2 linked regions of the Drosophila melanogaster genome follow. The protein of the gene in region 1 interacts with the protein of each later gene in a pairwise test. Each region holds a gene or a part of one and is shown in the gene's direction. Other genes may lie near its edges.

Region 1 (16,896 bases):
GAGGAGAACGCGAAGAACAACATCTACGGCATCGCTGAGCTTCGCATTAGAGTTTCCTGTTCTGTGGCTTCGTTCCTCTCGCTTTTCTGGCTGAACGGAGCTGCTGTCCGTGTTCATAGCAAGTTCATTGCGCCACATTTCGTCGTCGTTGGTCCTGGTCCTCGATCCTGTATTCCTGACGTCCTCTGCGGAACTGTCGCTGAGGGTTCGCCTGGATTCTTGACCTTCCTTGCTCGCAGTCATTTCGTTAGTCCGTTGGGTATATTCGGTTGTCAGCTTAGGCCTGGTGCTTGTCGCCTAAATAATTGAAGAGATAACCAAACGACGAGTCATTAATGATTGCACTTATGTATGCGGACGGGTAAACTACTTCAGGTGTGGGATAGATTGAAAAGAAGGCCTATCTAACTTTTTTACTTCATGTGCATATGTGCTTATCAGTCGCAGATTGGGAAGTCTATTGATGAAAAAGCTAATGCTTTTAGAGAGTATACCGGAATAGGCAGGCAACCCCCCCTTACTGAAGCGGTGGCATGGGCAAGCCTACGATTTTCGCGATTAGATACAAATAGTGAAAAAAATAAGGCCCCATACGAGACGTATAAATTGAGATAAAAATGTTTCCAATCATCCTAGCGATTGTGCCAGCATTTGCTCACACTAAAACTAGAATGTTGATAAATATTTTTATAGGGTTCGTAGAAGGAATCATAGCATTCGCTTTTCTTTCAGTGCACACTTGGCCACGCTTTTCGTCAATGTTTGTCATCAAACGCGGTTACGTATGGCCAGATAGGTATGGATGTGTGTGGTGCACATATATATATGGTATAGTGAGCGGCTATATCGTATAGGATGCCGATGCCATATGCACACGCGATGGATTTAACAAGCCAGGCGTCAAAAACACTATTGGCTAGCTGACGAGCACCTGCTCCTTGCCTGTGCCGCCAATATTGCCGTTGCGGTCGATTGGATTTTCGCGGCGGCGACTTCGTAGGTCCGCCGTACAACTATCGGGCATTATCACCCGATCCGATGCAATCTCCTGGGATTTGGGTATATTTGAGTTGACTTTGGAACTGTTTGCACTTGGGGCATCCACTCGTTGTTAGTCTGGTGGCGTTAATCCCGACGTGGTTTCAACTTGACTGCTTCCCGATTGCTAATGCTGCTGAATGCTAATGGCAGGGCTTTTTATAAACTTTCTCTAATCTCGCAACAGCATCGTAAAACAAACTGCGAAGCCAGCCCCTTTCACCTCACCCCTCTCCAAAAACTAATGCGCAAGAAAACAACAACAGCTGTTTGCCCTTTTCGTTAGTCGGATTCCCCGAGAGTGTGCAGCTTGACCGTTTACTTGTTAATTGGGCATGACCGTGTTTGTTGCGGCAGTAATTACAATTCATTGCGTAAAACTCGTATGCACGCGACAAAACCAAACTTTTTTCAGCCGTTTCTTTTCGTTTTGATTCAAATCAGTCGGTTGTTAGTTTGCAAATCAGAATAGGGCTGGCGATAACATTTGTTATCGACGGTAGTGCCAACTCGGCGCATAGCAGCGATAAGTCAGGGTTGTTGGTGCGATCATATGATTGAAAAATCTCCGTCAGACCGAAATAATAATAATATATAAATAAAGTTATTCCTCAGCCCGCAATGAGCATTCAAAGAAGCGAAAAGGAGGCCGCGGGCCAGCTACTGGATGACTTGTACCTGGACATGTTCCACCTCGTTGAGGAGCACACCCAGTGTCGGATAAATTTGGAGCGATGTAACGCCAGTGGGGCGATTCTCCTGGCCCGCACTAGATTTCAGCACGGAGGCAGCCAGTGCGTGTCCACGGCCCAGATTCCCACGGAGAACAGTGCCGAGTTTAACGCCCTCTGCCGGGTCGTGGACTCCACGGATGGCGTCTGCATCGAGCGACAGGCGGTTGACAAGTCCAAGGGCTTCGTGGAGCCCCTGCATTGGTTCTCGTGAGCACTGATAAAGCCTGTGTGTATGTGGGTCAATGTGATAACTCACTTACTCCTTTTTCCAGGGTACTGCCACCGATGAGCTTGCGCAATGCTGTTAACAAGTTCAAGGACTGCATAGAGCTGGTCGCCGAGAGCACTAATCTGCAGCGGCAGCTAGGAGAAGCGCTGGATTCGATCACAAAGCTGCGAAGGAGTGCCCTGCTTAGCTAGATACTTATGGCGCGCACACAATCCATACAATGTTAAGAATAAAGTAGATTTGAAAACATTATTGAAACAGCACTCACTGACTCTCGATGAAGAAGATATGCGAGAAATTATTGTTGATCTATCTGAAACGTCAATTTCATAATTATCTGACGTATGATCCCACCTCGTTTAAAAAAACCTATAAATGACGCCCAGAAATGCCTTTTCTTTAGTATCAAATAACAAACATTATTAAAATGGACTACATATTTATATCGAGCTTAGAATTTTTCTTATTTTAGTAAGCCAATTAGTTTTTCACAGAATAAGAAGTCCATAAATTGGCTCCCCTTGTCTTTAGTTCTACTTTCACACGTTTTTCTAACCTTTAAGAGTTAGAAACAAAGATTTTTGCACTGTTATTTAGCTAATTTATACAATATAGACTTCCACAAACCTTATCTTGATATTTTAGTACGCCTAAATTTTAAATATTTCCGCTCAGCGCTCTCATGTGCGAGGCTGCCACTCGGCGAGTGCAGAACCAGCAAGTGGGCAGTACCGCGAATTCTACTCGTCAGCTGTTTGATTTGTCAACCATTTTTCGCTTCGTGTTCTTAGCGAAAATTAAATCGAACGCGTAATTCACTTGTTACATTTGCGGAGTGCATGGTGAGTCCCTATCTCGATGGTGTTTGAGATCCTCCGCGTCCCAAGATCCGTTTCTGAAATAAAACTGGGACAGAAGCTGGGGTTCTAAACCAAAAATCGATAATAAATTGCCAAACGAAATAGAAGCACAAAATTGAAGCAATTAGCAAGTAATGTAATCAACTTGCAGCCCGAATAATATAAGCATATTGTGCAGGAACATGCGAGCGGAGGAAAAGCGGAGGAGCAGATAACAGAACCAAGCGACGCCCAAAAAGTCGCGGATAGAAGCGCAAGAAGAAGCTGCAGCACAGCGCGGGCCTTTGTTGTTCCGTCAGCTGCGGATTGAGGGCAACGGCACCTCCCACTCATCCAGCCCTCTTGACCCACGCCCAATCACCCACGTGCCTGCCACCCCCTGCTCAGTGCGAACATGAGCGGCGCTCGGGATCAGACGGATCCCCCGCTGCTCCAGCTCGAGGACGAGGTGGATCTCATCGGGGACTTTGCCAAGGACCAACCTCCGCCCAGAAACCAACTGTCTCCGCTTTTAAATGGCTTCGAGTCGACAAGCAACCAGTTGACCACCAAAGTTGAGGTGAGTGCACTCCGTTCTCAACCTCACCTTCTGCAATACATATGGCAATATGAACTGACTTTTTCCTTAGATCAACACCGTCGGCATGGGCAAACGCAAGACAAGGAGAAGAGGGAAAAAGGCGCGGGAACCCATGCTACTGTCGGTGGACGACGAGGATGACGAGGAAGAGGCGCAAGAGGAGAGGAACCACACCAACGGGCTGCCGCCAGGCGAGGAGAGTGCCGGCGGCGATGCTGTTATTCAGAAACCGCAACTGGATAACTTGGTCATGCATTACGACGACCAGATCGACGACGAAGATGGCGAAGAAGCTGTGCTGCTGAAGAGAAGCTCAAACCCGCGCAACCAAAGACTCAAAGGTAGCGCTGAGGATAGCATCGACAGCAGCAGCCAACAGCCACCGATTATTTGTCACATCGCACCCGCGAAGGTAGCCTCATCTGCATTGACATCTCCGCTGAAAACCACTTCGCACACTGCTCTCGCCCGTCATCCGCATGACGAGGCCGACGACATCTGCCTGGTGCCAGAAATCGACTTCGAGGGCATGTCCACGGACGCCGGCAGCGACAACCGGGAGTCACAGCCGCTCTTGGGGGGAGGCAATGCCAGTCACGGAAGTCGCATCAGCGAGCTTTTGGGCGGACTAGGACGCGGGCACGATCATGTGGAGTTTGTATCGAACACATTTGGCGGTGAGTGCGCAGCGGTCTAATGAAGTCGTACAAGTTGCATTTCCTACCACACCCAGACCACATTGCTGCCTTGTTTGCTTTGTGGCTTTACTCATGATGTGCTTATCACTTCTACGGCTACATATGGTGGTTCTATCTCCACAAGCAGCGCAAGCTTAGAACAGATTATTTAGGGCCTCGATGTTATTCATTCAACTTCATCTAATTTCTTTTATACGGGGAGGATCTGTAACTGGAAACTAGCTATTTCGCCTCTGTTACATACTTGAATATAAACTAAACGTGAATATAAACTAGACAAAATGTCCGACCAAATGAACCAAAAAGACTCTTAAATAGAATGATAAGGGTTAGATTCCTAGCTGCTATACGTTTTAAATTTAAATTAAAGTCAACAAAAGCACCCTGGTCAACCCAAGCATTTCCGTCCTCCAAAAGAATTATTTACATTTAGATTTATTTAAAAACTAATACAAACTGCTTTTGTATTCCCTTGCTAAGATAAATAATACATATATGAATCAATGCAATCATAAGAATAACCACATTTCTATTGGTTAGTCCATGAAGTGCTTACTCAAATATTAGTCAATTTGTACGTTGTGCAGGGAATTGAGCTAACTTTTATAGATATATGTAGAGTGTGTTGTGGGAGCGATATACACTGCCAAATGAGTACTCATCTAGATCTTTGACCTTTGTGACTCAGGTGATTCGCACTGCTCTGCTGCCTTTGAACATACGCTGATGAGTAATACCCTCCGATTTGTTTTCGTTGCATTTCGAAATAACTTCCGAAAGCGATTTATAGTTTGTCTGTTCTTTTTGCAATCGTTTTACTCAGTACTGAATATCACTAGATGGCCATATTTCGCTTGCCCTTTGTATGTTAATCCTATAGTCATCGCCCCACATTTCAAAGCATTTTTTACAATTTTATGGTTTTTACAAGAATTAGTTTTTTTTCGAAATTGAGCACAAAATTGTGTGTTATAAATCTTGGTGTACTTGGATGTCACCGTGGACGTCTGTAGCTCGGAATCGAAGTCAGTCGGGAAGCATATAAAGAATTTCGAGGAAGGCACTTCAAAAATGGAACTTGTTCCTTTGGCAACTGTCGCCAATTGGACATAGCCCCATGCCGAAAAACAACATTAAGTCGTTTCTCAGCCAGGTGCCGTTGCCGAACGCTATAGCAGCCAAGTACCAAGAGCCAAGCGAACCAAGAGACGATGAGCAGCCCACGACAAGCAAGGATGCGCTGGAGAGCAGCTCCTCGGTGCCCTCCGCCTCCGCCGCCTACGCCTGCATCTGTTGCGAGCACAAGTGCCCGCTGGAGAAGGATTTCTTGGAGTCGCAGTCGGACAAGGAGGGCGATCCGCCCTTTCTGGTGAACTCACCGTCGATGGCGCGTGACTCCAAAGACACAGTAACCGTTCAAATCGCGGCTCCGCGCTGCAATTGTGCCAACTGCCCGCTGAGGAACCTCTGTAAGTGGTGGCAAGGGGTTGGCCCTTATCGAAACGCTTTGGCTATGCTAATTGTGACCTGGTTCTCCTTTATCAACTGCCAGCCGACTCGAAACCTCTCGACTGCCGGCGCACTTAATATACCAGTGCCTCCATGTCGCGCTTGTCGAGCAGCAGTCGCGAAAACTTCATACCGCAAGTGTTTACCATTTGCCAGGACTTGCAGGGCGATTTCAACGACAACTTTGATTTCATAGGTAGCGTGGAGAGGATTAGCGTAGTCAACAGTCCTATGCCATTCCTTGATATAAAGTAAAGTGTAGGATGGGGTCTTGAATTTCATCGCAGTCTTATAAGCGTTTTCGTGCATGTTTGCTGTAATTATTTTTATCCAACAGATGGCACGTTATTTCGTTGGTGTGTTTATAAATTATTAAAACCATAATTATATAGCAAATTTGTTCAATTTTAATAAATGACGAACAGTCCGTTTTTTACCCGTCGCTTGAGGCATGCGAATCTTCGTTCTACGCACAAACTTTTTTAGTAATTTAAAGCCCTAGTGCTAATGCCTATTTTTAATTTTAATCTTTGATTCTTATAGATGACCCGCTTTTCTCGGAGATCGTGGCGAAGGCGGAGGGGGCCATCGAGAATGGTGTGCTGCCCGAGCGCATTTACCAGGGTAGCAGTGGTTCCTACTTTGTCAAGGATGCCTCCCATGTGAGTAGGGAATCGGGGTGACGATCTTCTAGCCGTTCTTGCGCATAAGGTGGGAGTTGGGTCGTCCAGTTCTGGGCCTAACTTCGTCGATCTTTTACTTTTCCGCGCATAGATAAATAAGATCGGGTAATCGGGGAAGTACTGCAAATATAAGGCTTTTGCAAAACTTTTGGTTTTTTCCTGAAACAGTTTCAAAATAGTGAATTGTATATTGTTTACCCGCTTATGCTCTATGTATTTATTATGCCATTTCTTATGATGCTCCCCCTTAGCAATGCCTGGCCGTATTTAAGCCAAAGGACGAGGAACCCTATGGCAGACTGAATCCGAAGTGGACGAAATGGATGCATAAGCTGTGCTGCCCGTGTTGTTTTGGCCGAGCTTGCTTGATTCCCAATCAGGGGTAAGATAATACAAGTTGTCACCATTCATTAAAAGCCAATTGAGGAACTTATTTCATTTGTTGATATATATATTAAAATGGTATTTATATTTCTTAGGTACCTCTCCGAATCAGGAGCCAGCTTGGTTGATCGAAAACTCAATCTGAATGTGGTTCCAAAGACGCGAGTGGTCAGATTGGTTGCCGAGAGCTTTAACTACGCACGCATTGATCGACAGAAGGCCAAGCTGAAGAAGCGCATTAAAGAGCACTATCCGTCGGCTCACTTCAACCGAATGAGCCTTCCTCTAAAGGTGAACTCGTCTCCAAAAACAAACCGATTGGGTATTAACCAAGTCAAAATTCCTTGCAGACTGGCTCCTTTCAGCTCTTCGTGGAGGGTTACAAGGATGCGGACTATTGGCTGCGGCGCTTTGAAAGCGAACCCTTGCCGCCTTCAGTGGCGAAGTCGTTCCAACTGCAGTTCGAGCGCCTCGTCGTGCTCGATTATATCATACGCAACACGGACCGTGGCAACGACAACTGGCTGATCAAGTACGTGGCCCCTAAGATCACGACCCAGGTGGGAGGCACTGGCGGCAGAACTATGCACGGAGTTGTGACCCCCAAATTGCCCAATGCGTTGGGGGCTTCAAAAATCGTTGACCTAAACGAGCCGCCGCAGGCTAGCCCGAAACCGACTACTGGTGGTCGCCCTTCGAACCACCTAGCGGGTGGAGCAGCCACAAGTGCACAGCAAGATAGCAGCAGTTTGGCCAGCAGCGAAGATGAACCCTCGTCGAGATCCCCCCCTACGTCGGAACCCGATTGGAATGTGGTGAACTCGGCCTTCATTCGGATCGCTGCCATCGACAATGGTCTCGCTTTTCCCTTCAAGCATCCGGACTCTTGGCGAGCTTATCCCTACCATTGGGCCTGGTTGCCACAGGCGAAAATTCCGTTTAGCGAAGAAATCAAGGAGCAGGTGCTGCCGCAGTTGTCAGATATGAACTTTGTAGAGGAGATCTGCACGGAGTTGTTGTACCTCTTCCAGCAGGATCGCGGCTTTGACAAGCGTCTCTTCGAGCGCCAGATGTCGGTGATGCGGGGCCAGATTCTAAATCTCACACAGGCACTGAGGGATGGCAAGTCGCCGGTGCAACTGGTCCAGATGCCAGCGGTGATTGTCGAGCGGTAAGTATCATACTTTCATGACTCCGGATTATAGGAGGCCAATAATGGTTTCTAACATTTCAGATCAAGTGGCAGTCGTTTCTTCTCTTTTACGCAGCGCTTCCAAAATAAGAGCCCTTTCTTCTCTTGGTGGTAGGTTGCCGATTCATTGGTACTTCGTCGCATTGTCACTTACTAGCCACTTACTTCACTTTTAGCTAAATGACCATGGAGCAGCCCCTGCCGACCCCACCAAAAATCAAATCGAGCAGCCGGTTACTACAGTCTCATCTTTTTCATCATGTATATGCGCTTAGTTGTTGTCTAGTATACTTCCAAATCGTAATCACGGAGCACGGAGCCTAGAAATGTATTTTTTGCCAAAAAACTCAAATGGTCATATTCAATAATTAATTACTTGTATTACTAGTTTCTGGGATGACTTACCCATACCATGGTTACATATTTAGGAAATATCTTATGTTTGTCAAGTGCTTGTATAGTCAATTGTTTTCGCATAAAGTATGCAGAAATCAGAAGGAGATCATTTTAAAGCACTCGCTCAAGTGGTTTATACATTTCTTTATTATTTGAATGAAATCATAATGCATATAGGTGAAAAATACAAAGCTCATTTACATTCGTTAGCACTTGAGTTAAGGTCGCCCATTGTTATTAGCATTAGCACATATTTAATGGTTTCCTTTCCTCCAAACTAAAACTCAATTTATTTCATTATGTACGGTTCGCAACTAAATAGTGTGGGAATATATATATATATCAACCAAAATACATATGTAAAGTATTTAAAAGGCAAGCCTTATATAAAAGATATTAAAACATTATAAAAGTTTAACAGAAACTAAAGCCCTTTTCGAACATAAGTATGTATATACCTTATTATTTCATAACAAAATATCTTAAAACTACTAGCAGCCATACTTAAATCCAAAGGACTTTTTTATCCGAAATTTAATCACTACAGGAGCCAATCGTCTGATGCATCGGATGTCAGTCTACTAACCACGACTGCCTGGCTTTTCTGGACACCAATAACATTGCAATCCGTACTTTGAAATGTATCTTCCGTTGGGACACGAGGTATGAGGACTGCATCAGGTGCGATAGTTTCGTTTTTAATGTCTATTTCAACATATGGAATTTCGGATTCCATCGCATTGAGTTGTGCAACTATTTCAGAATTCGGTGACGTGTCCGGTGCCAGAGGCTCGTTTTTAACTGGTATCTTGGAATCAGTTTGAAAACACTCTTCCGGAGTGTCGGATATAATAGTTACATGATTCGTTGGCACCACGGACTCCCGGTCATCGTCTTTCTTATCTTCACTCCCTTTGGAAGCATTCTCATCCACGGGGCTCAAGAACATTTCAGTATCTGCACTGAATTTTGCAAAAGCTCGCTTCGGCGTAGCTAGGAAAGTGGATATCGAAGGCTGAAACCCAGTACGCAGCATAGATGCCCGACCTTCGTACTTGTACCACCGTATGGGCACCTCTCCAGTGACATAGAGATCGCGGCCCACGGGAACGGTGCTTATGACTCGCTTTGGCTTGAGGAAGCGAACAAAGCGCTCCAACTCCTTGTAGCTGGAGTGTTCTGAGTACTCAATGCCGATCGTGCTAATTCGCTTGCCGTACGAAGGCTTTGAGTTCTTTTCCCAACCGCTGGGCCTTATGCCCAGCAACATGTCATATTGGTCCTCGAATTCAGTAAAGTAATCGACTAGGCTCTGAAACAAAATAATATCGCTAACTAAAAAATTGATATATTTTAGAAATACACTTACCGGATAGCTGATTTTTCCCATTGCAATGACGTGCAAGTTTGCTCCGCTGCGATCTTCTGTTAGCACGGAGTCTAGATCCGGCCAATTCAGGCATCTTACTGCAGTGCTGCGATTGCTTTCCGTCCAAACCCTCATTGTGAACTCCTTCGCTAAGGCCAACCATATCTTCTCCTTTCCTATCACGTAGGAGCCGCAGACGATAAGGATTCGTTTGGCTGCATTTTTCTCTAGGAAGGCGCGCACCAGATCCACCGCTCGGTCAACGCTCTCGCTTTGGTGGCAGAAGTCGTAGTTTTTGTTCATATACGTTGTGTCCAGATAAAGCAGGTCGATGTTTGAATGGTTCCAGAAGATTGGTAGGGATTCCATGTCCGCGCTAGCTCGGAAGTCCCCGGTGTGCAGTATGCATTCGCCAGAGCTCAGTTTGAAGAAGAACATGAGTGCTCCAGGACAGCTGAAAGGTGAGAAATAGCAGTTTGGTAAGCTGCCAAAAAAAAGCGACTGCTCTTACTGGTTAGCTTCTAAGGCGGTTACTTGGACGCCATCTACGTCCAGGGTCTGGTCCACATCAATTTCGTGAATGTGCGTTTCATCGAGTTTAATAAACGTTCGCACCAAGCGCGCTGAAATAGGACTCACGTAGAGGGGATGGCAGAACTTTTTAGTCAGGCCGATGTAGTGATCCGCATGAAAGTGCGTGAGAAAGTAATGTGTGACTCCCTCTATTTCCCCAAACTGAAAGCCGTCGACGCAGAAGGATGTACCCTCCACTACTTTATAGGGCGGACAAGGCTTTGGTTTTCTTTGTTTGCGTACAGTTCCTTTTTTAGAGTTTTTGCCCAGGGGGCTTTCCTTTGTGATTGCAGCCGGCGATGACCGGTAAAAGTTATTCGTTGGGGATTTGTTGGGACCGGGGGAGATTTCCACTAGGTCTAGGCTGGAATTGCTTAGCTTGGCTTCTGGCATGGAAGTCTCTGGAGTTCTAAACTTGGTTGCTTGGACATCGCTGCTTTTTTCACAGGGAGAGGCTATCGCGGATGGCTTTCTTTTTATGGTCTGCTCGTCCTCGGAGCACAGGTCAATTACGTGCACTTCGGAGAGGCTAGCGTTCTCCTTGCCTTTCGCACGGCGACTAGGCTGCACTCGCTTCTCTGACGGCTTTGCATCCAGCTTGCCCGTAAAGGCAGATGAGGTTGTTGTAGACTCCTCGAAGAGGCGCTTGCGCCCTTTGGTAGATACCTTTCGCTTGTCCAACGGAGGATCCACCTTCCTGCAAGAGGAACTTGACTTGACTTTGTAGTTCTTGACGGCACTTGTAAAAAAGCTATCGATGCGCATTTGTCCTGGCAGCGGAGTCTTCTTGCTGGAACGCTTGAACGCAGTGCTGGCTATGATTGGACATGCTTCCGTCTTTGGTCGGACCTTTTTTGTCGTGGAAGCCGCACGAGTTCTTCCCGCTCTTTTCTTGTCCGGCGTTCTGTTCTCGATCGTGGGCGTTGGGTCCGGTTCTACATTTACTCGTACTGTGGCCTGCAGATCCGCAATGGATCTTATCTTTATTTTCCCTACATTGGACATCCTGTTTACATATAACAAATAGGGCCAGGATCGCACGGTTCGATTGCCAGAGAAACCGCTTTTATCATATCGACAGGCGATAAAGCACAAGGTCATACTAAAATCAAGCGCTTAATTTAAATTGCCGCCATATCTCTCAAGCAAAAATTAAGTATATATAATCTTTTTAACGATTTTCGGGAAAGGATTAGGAATATGGCAGGGACCACGATTAAATGCAATTCATTGCTTAAACGCAGCCATACCATTGGGAGACCAAATAAACTTCCACAGCAGCCGATATGCCGACAGACTTAGCGCCCACCCGAACACGTTGGCGAATGATCTTGTCGACCTTATTTCCCTCCGACGTCTGAAGAGAATACAATAATCTCTCCACGGTACATATGTGTACACTATAATTAAGGAACAGAATCCATAATATCTTTTAAGCTACACATTAGGTTAAGTTCAGAAGGAACTGAACGATTCCTAATGCATAATAATAAATGATTTAAACTTAAAAAAAAAAAGTTTAAAAAAATATATGTATATATATTTTATATAATTTTAATATAATATTACCTGCACAGCAGTGACAGCACGGGTTTAGATGTTTTACATATCCATGTACATAGCAGCATGTTCACTTTTAGTTATTAAAGTTCGACCAGTGATATTTTTATTGAACTGAAAATGTTATGCAACTATCGATATTATATATATTCAACAGATATTATTTCAATATAAATTCAACAGAGGAGTTAAACTTATTAGATGCAGGACATACGACCCAAAACTCAGTTGATGTATGAGTACTGCTTGAATGTGTCGATTGCTTGTCAGTGTTATCGTTGGCCTGCCACCTCTGGTACAATATTATAACAAACTAAACAAAACAACAAGACGGTGGAAAAAGGGAATCTTGTGGTGCGGATTGGTAAACTGGGCTTCTTCTTCCGCGCCTTCAGCATGGCGTGGCGATCCGTGGGAGCCAATAATGAAGACCTGATTCGCCAACTGAAGGGTGAGCCCTTGAATTCGCTCCGTTTAATGGGCCGAGTTAATAATAGAACCGAATCCCCAAGATCACGGCGTCATTGCAAGTGATGCGGTGGCCCAGGCGATGAAGGAAACCGACCGCAAGCACTACTCTCCGCGCAACCCCTACATGGACGCCCCGCAACCCATTGGAGGAGGTGTCACCATCAGTGCTCCTCACATGGTAACTCCTAGCCAGGACATTGAAAAACAAATAGTTTGCTCGCCATGTTTGCTGTGGGAGTCAATGCCCACACTCAAGATGCTTTTAGGAGGCAGCATAAAAAAGTAGCTTTCTTTAATCCACTAAAAACATATCAATGGCTCATCATTTGAAGACTAGTTCTTCACTCCCGTAGCTTCTTCCCATCATATTCTTATAATTTCTGAAAGTAAAGTGTCTTTTTAAACTGGAGATTAATACATTTTTCTTTCCCAGCATGCCTTCGCCTTGGAGTATCTACGCGACCACTTGAAGCCCGGTGCACGTATACTGGATGTGGGCTCTGGATCTGGCTACCTCACAGCCTGCTTCTATCGTTACATCAAGGCTAAGGGCGTTGATGCGGACACCCGAATCGTGGGCATAGAGCACCAGGCAGAGCTGGTGCGGCGGAGCAAGGCCAACTTAAACACCGACGACCGTAGCATGCTGGACTCCGGCCAGTTGCTGATCGTCGAGGGTGACGGCCGCAAGGGATACCCCCCGAACGCCCCGTATAATGCAATCCATGTAGGAGCAGCTGCTCCCGACACACCCACCGAACTCATCAACCAACTGGCCAGCGGCGGACGCCTGATAGTTCCAGTCGGTCCCGACGGCGGGTCTCAGTACATGCAACAGGTGGGCAGATGCTGATTCGTATAACTGCTGGAATAATATGTATATGTAATAATAATAATATATATATATATAATAATATACATAATAATATATATATATAATAATATACATAATAATATATATATATCATAATATACATAATAATATATAATAATATACATAATAATATATAATAATATACATAATAATATATAATAATATATAATAATATAACCATTTTTACAGTACGACAAGGACGCCAATGGGAAGGTGGAGATGACACGTCTCATGGGCGTAATGTACGTCCCTCTCACGGATCTTCGCTCCTGACTGCACAGAGTGGGAAGGTCGCTCGTTGCGGTGCTGCTGCTCGTGTTTTTTCTCTACCTAATTTTGGCTTACTAGTTAATCAATCAATCAAAATTAAATTGCTTTTTTTCACGTTGAGTGCAAATATATAAGTTTACCGAACAAACGCTGTCTTTTCGTTTTTTTGTTTAAAGTTACCAAGCAGCTTCAACATTTCATATTACATTAATGAAATCATAATTTTTTTATGTCCGTAGTGAGATAAATTTTAACTACACCTTTAAGAATTTTTCCCCGATTTACAGATTTAGTTTTAATAGTGATGAAGAATAGGATAATTGTTAAATATTCGTGCTTAATATTATTAATTAAATACTTATACTTCGAATGGTTAAGTTTTAAATAGTTGACTGGCTTTGTTTCATCAAACCAGCTCACCATCATAGACATTTATAAATTGAGATCCAACAAGTGAACTATAGATGTCCGGAACGTAAAATATAATTTAATCAGTCACAATTTAATCAAGTGCTAAAACACCAAAAGTGTCCCTAAAACATTCAGGAACAGCATTACCATTTATTTAATCAGGATGTTTTAAAAAAATTACGTTTATACCCGTTATTCGTAGAGTAAATAAGTAGACTATAAGTAGATTCTTCGAAAAGTAGAAAACAGGCAGAAGGAAGCGTTTTCGACCATATAAAGTATATATATTATTGATCAGGATCAATAGCCGAGTCGATCTGGTCATGTCCGTCTGTCCGTATGAACGGGATCTTAGGAACTATAAGAGCTAGAAGATTAAGATTCAGCATTCTAGAGACATCGACACAGCGCAAGTTTGTTGACCTATGTTGGCACGCCCACAAACCGCACAAAAATGTCACGCCCACAATTTTGAAAAATGTGTTAATAATTTTAAGCAAAAATACAGTTTCTCTAGATTTTTTGCCACGCCCACTCTAACTCCCTTCAACCGCCCAAAACTGCTACGGCCACATTCAAGCAAATTTTTCTCAATTTTATTAGACGTTCAAATTTCTATCGATATGAAAAAAACTTTTTGCCACTCCCACTCTAACACCCTAAAGACACCAAGTCACGCCCACACTTTTGAACAATTTTTATAATGATGAATAATGATGGAATTTCACGTTCGCATTCACACTAGGTAAGGAACGGGTATCAGATAGTCGGGCAACTCGACTATAACATTCCTTCTTGTTTTATATTAATTATACAATATATGTACATTTCTATAGATTTGACCTTTTGCCACGCCCACTATTATGCCCACAAACTACCAAAAGCTGACAAGCCGACTTTTTGGAAAAATATTTTTATTTTTTTCCGTTTTATGGATTATCTTACCCATTTCTATCGGTATACCAAAAGCATTTTGGCAACGCCCCTTCTTACACATTTTGTCTCATTTTATACCCAATCGATATCCCAGAGAAAGTACATGAAATTTTGGTTCGCACTTGCACTAGCTGAGTAACGGGTATCTAAAAATCGACTAAGGCGTTACCTCTCGTATGCGACAGCATGGGAAATATTTTGAGTAAAATTATTGATATAAATATTGGAGATTACACTTTAAATCAGTGCAAAACAAATTTTAAACAATAATCGCAAATATAGTATAGTATGTATATATATATATATATATATACCAAACTGTATGAAACTGATACGGACTTTCCTATTCCCATTCGTACTAGGCGGTTTCTACAATTTCACTTGACAATTATGTCAAAGTCAGGTTCAGTCGGTTGTGGAAATGCTGTAAAGGGCAGTAGTCGAAAGGAGCTCGACCTGGGAAGTTCTCCCAGAGGGCACACATTACACAAAAAAGTCTAAAAACGCGGTTTATTAAATGAACAGTTTTATTTTTATATTAAGTAAGTTTGTACAAAATCAACAATGATGGGAAGTGAATCTGTGCTATTAGGGATATATTGTTTTTTAAGTGTATCCGGAGTGCAACCGTCAATGATGATTAACCTAATTAACCTAGCTACCAAATTGTGGACCACGTAATACAACCCACATATATGTGATGATGATATATATGATATATAATATAATTAACTTTGTAATTAAATAACCGGCTAAGCTAAAATAATTGGTTATGAAGTGTTTTTGTTGGAAACAGTATTACTCCTCGGATAGGTTGTGGCAAGCTTTGCCAATGTTGAACTGACATTCAAAAAAAAATCAAACAAGCCGCATTTGAAACTCTCGCTTGATATTTTTGAAAATTCAATTGGCGGGTATCGGTATCGAGTGACGACCCTTTCTGACCGATAACGGCGTCGTGCATCGCCTATCGACCAGTGGCATCACTAGTGCCAAAATGTGGCAGTTTGAAAACAAAAACGCAACTAAAATGAAAACGTCTCAGAATGAAATGCCCGACAAGGACAAAAGTTTTCGCAGACATTCTTTGTCGCCGCGTTCTCTATCCGCGATATTCTTCCACAGCACTGGTCTGCATCTGGACGACGGAGTAGCACAGTGGCTATCCATCAATGTTAAGGAAGACATTACAAATCTGCTAAACGAGGCTGGAAAATACATGCGGCGCATCCGGGATCGGCGATTGCAACTGTCTCACATCCAGCATGCCGTCCGAATGCACGACGACCTCTGCTATGACATCTTTTTTAGGCTGGTCCATTGCGACGATTGCAAAATGCCTCCTTCCCAAAAAGTATTAAAAACCGTCCGCGAAGCTGTAACCGCCGAAAAAAAGGATGAACTTCTCGTTTCCTACCCGGAATCCGTGCAGGAATCTGTGCCGGAACCCGTGCCGGAGACTTCATTGGAGCCGCCTCCCATGCACACCGGGTGGCTAAAGGTGGAGCAGGTGCTGCTAAAGCCCAGCAAGCGCTATCCGCTGAGCATGGAACAGCAGAACTTCTTCGAGTTGGTAACCGAGGCCTGCGTAGGCGACTTGGAATCCCGGCGCGTGCTTGCTCTCAAAGCCATCTCCACTGATCCCTCGCTGGAGGAGTTGCTGCCCAGGTTGACCAAGTTCATTGCGGACGCAGTGGCTATCAACGTGGCCCAGCAGAACCTGCCGCTGCTCCTTTACCTTATGCGCATGGTCCGAGCTCTTTTGGGAAACCAGCGCTTCAGCCTATTGCAATATGTAAGTATTTGGTTCTGAGAGGAATAGGATAAGCTGAAGAATGCATCTGTTGAATTGCAGCTCCACCTGCTCCTGCCAGCCGTTCTATCCTGCCTGCTGGCCAAACAAGTGTGCGCATCTCCGAACTCGGAGGATCACTGGGCCTTAAGGGAATACTCCGGAAACATAATGGCCCACATAGTGCGCCAGTTCGACGCTGCCGACAACGGCATCCTGCCCAGAGTCATTGGGCAAGTACTCATCATGTGTGGGTTCTTTGGGTTATTTGTGAATTCATATCATTTTATTAGAGAGAAATCCATCTGGTAGAGGAATATAATCATATTAATTAATA
Region 2 (2,897 bases), on another chromosome or scaffold:
GAGTTTCAACACTTTGCAATATAATCTAAGAACATCAATGCTATGACATCTTACATCAGCATTCTCTCGCATTTTTTTGAGTGCATTCGGTTGAGTATGTGAGAGCTTGTCGATTATCGCAAGCATTTGGCGAACGGCAAACTTTTGCGCTTGTCGGCGTTAACAAGCCACAGCCATGCGTTTAACTAAGCGTAAATGTAACAGTGTGTGTGTGTGTGTGCGGAAGGGTAAGGGGGTGGCGGTTGAGGGGGAGTAGATCCTGTCAGCGTGTGACTAAAGTGTGTTGGTGTGTGTGTGAGTGTGTCGGTGCGGTTGGGTAGCAGCAACATTGTTGCAAAATGATTTTGAAAAAAAAAAACCATCAATAACTCAAATATAATGACAGTTTTCCACTTGTTGTTGCCCGTCACAATCACCCGCCGCCCCTAGCTGCCAACCACCACCATCCCCCGCCCCTAAGTGGGGCTAAATGGATGAATAACTTAAGCCAGCTGCTTCGCCTTTCCTCTTAGTGTGCGATGTTATGTAATGTAATAACGTCAATCAAATTTAAAAAGGCAGACCAACTATTTCAAAATCAATTTTCCTGAGACCCCGCCCCAGCGCCCCTTCGCCATTGCGCCCCCACCCCCTTTTCATGGAAGCGGTGGGAATGTGGAAAAGTGGAAAGGCAGCGGAAGGAAACAGGAAAGCGAGCTCGGCTTAAGCAAATACACAAGCACAAGTTGTTGCAGCATCAGAGGAATCCTGAGTGGGCTGTTGCTTGTGGAGCGGAGGAAGTAGGCTAATGTAGCAGAAGAAGACTCCGGACTCAGTCACTTTGCAAACAGTATCCCCCACTAAGCTCTGACTAGCGAAATTTGCAGCCAGGCACCGTGACACCGAGTGAAAAAGTGCCTGCCATGGTTAAAGTTGGGTTTAAACTTTTGACTGGCCGTGGCGCGTGGTTTTTGCCCCCGGGAGAAATGTATCATTCGTGTCATTAATCATTCGTCATGTGGGACGGCGACAACATTTCATTTGCTTATCATCCGGCTCAAAGTCTTTGGGGGAATGAACGCAACAAGAGCAGGCCTCAAAGTTGAATGAATCAAATGGGCTGTCGGAAAACTTATTTCTAAGCCTAGAAATCCCTGACAAGTCAGTGGCTTCGCGTCCCCTGCGATTGTAGGGATTTGAGGAGGCGGAGGTAGAAGCATTAGACAGAAGGTGTGGTTAAATAAATGTTTTCTTATTTGCTGAAATTACAGCAGTCTTAATTAGGATTTTCTCAAAAATATTTCACAGTATGGTTGAAATTTAAAAGTCCAACTATGATAGCATTTATTCAATATAATTACTTGAAACTGGACAGGGATTACAAAAAATCCTTTCAGCTAGTACAAGAGCATCCTTTCAATTTATATGCCCGCTTGATTTTTTATGGCCAGCACTCCACAGCACAACTACTGCCCATCATCATCATCATCGTCATCTAACATCATTCCTGTCCCATGGACGGCCACTCAAAGGCAAGCGCTGAATTGACAAATTGATGGATGGTTCTCCAAACGTTGCATGCTTCAGCATCTCTGCTTTCCTTATTTTTTCCCTTTATTGCCCCTTGTACGAGTATATGATGCATTATTATTCCGGAAAAGTTTGTGACCGCAACAACAACAATTGCTTGCCTAAGTGTTTTATTAGCCATCGAGAACAGAGTTTGAGTTCGGTTGAGTTGAGTTGATTGTCAGTTTTCATACACATCGGTTTTTCCCCATTTCTCCTTTTTTTTTTTGTATTCCTGATTTTCCTGAACTACTTTAGGGTTTTATTTGCTAGTGCCATGCCTTCTTTTTCCGGCAATGAGCTGACGAATGAGCATATCGACGAACTGAGGGATGCCTTTGAAAAGTATGATCTGGACTCGAATGGCACATTATCAGCCAACGAGGTGCGACTGGCTCTAATATCAGTGGGTTACGAAATCACTGAGGCAGAGTTGTACGATCTCATCCATTCGGTGGCTGTGAGAGACGAGGAGAGGCTGGACTTGAAAAAATTTATACGCATGATGGCGCCCCGAATGGCCAATGTGGATAGTGATAAAAGTCTATGCCGGACCTTTAACATGATTGACCGCGATCGCGACGGCTACGTCACCGTCCAGGATGTTCGTGCCATTATGGTCGTCCTGGGCGAAGTCGTAACCGATGACGATATTAAGGATATCTGCCAAGCAGTCGATATGGATGGCGATGGTCGCATAAGCTTGCGCGATTTCGTAGGCTTTATGCACAGCCCCATTTGAGCTGAGACAGCAAGCAAAATTGAACATTTTTCATACAGAGTAAGCAAACAAACAAAAATGTATCTCACAAATCTATTGTAGATTATAATAAAAATTATTGTTTTCATAATTATTAATATATTTAATTTTTGTGTAAAAAGCCAGTCAGTGTTTATGAATTTTCGTTTAATTTTATAATGGTTTTTTTTTTATTTAAAATGTTCTTTATTTTGTTTTTAGTAGGGCTTAATGTTTGAAGTACTTAAAAATTGAAATTCAATACATAGACGTACATATATTTCTGCCTGCTGGCAGAAAAAACGAAGGCGGCTGAATGGAAAACGGAAGGAAAAAATTGAGAGCATAAAGCCAGAAATTAATTCAACAGCACGTTTCGTCCATTAAGCCGCCAGAGCTTTGCTTGCTGACTTTGCCATCCTTTCGCCACCGCCCCTGCCACTCCCCCTGCAGGACATGGACATGGACACATGTGCAATGGCCGCACACACAAACACACATGCAAAGTGTTGTGTAAACAAGTCAGCTGCCAGTTGGCTGGGCGCTGCAGGCGGGGCTCACAGTAGGGGAAGAGCTAGAAGATGAAGAAGGAGCTTATCCAGAAGGAACG

Evidence for each region.
Region 2: the proteins of CG14671 (region 1) and CG13526 interact in a two-hybrid assay, tested with the Drosophila melanogaster proteins (one large-scale study listed by BioGRID).

What each region holds. Positions count from the first base shown.
Region 1 is NT_033777.3:5,549,489-5,566,384, reverse strand, and holds CG14671 (uncharacterized protein), read left to right. Parts: upstream 1-1,569; 5' UTR 1,570-1,659; coding exon 1,660-1,979; intron 1,980-2,044; coding exon 2,045-2,192; 3' UTR 2,193-2,408; downstream 2,409-16,896. Other genes in the region: CG12746 (uncharacterized protein), read right to left, coding at 1-243; Pi4KIIalpha (phosphatidylinositol 4-kinase II alpha), read left to right, coding at 3,256-3,420, 3,491-4,118, 6,192-6,310, 6,583-6,713, 6,811-7,006, 7,066-7,886, 7,950-8,018, 8,084-8,087; Snm1, read right to left, coding at 8,845-9,615, 9,673-10,126, 10,184-11,250; Pcmt (Protein-L-isoaspartate (D-aspartate) O-methyltransferase), read left to right, coding at 12,202-12,256, 12,318-12,454, 12,710-13,114, 13,340-13,423; mia (meiosis I arrest), read left to right, coding at 15,765-16,562, 16,623-16,792.
Region 2 is NT_033778.4:22,753,500-22,756,396, forward strand, and holds CG13526 (uncharacterized protein), read left to right. Parts: upstream 1-1,719; 5' UTR 1,720-1,825; coding exon 1,826-2,290; 3' UTR 2,291-2,397; downstream 2,398-2,897.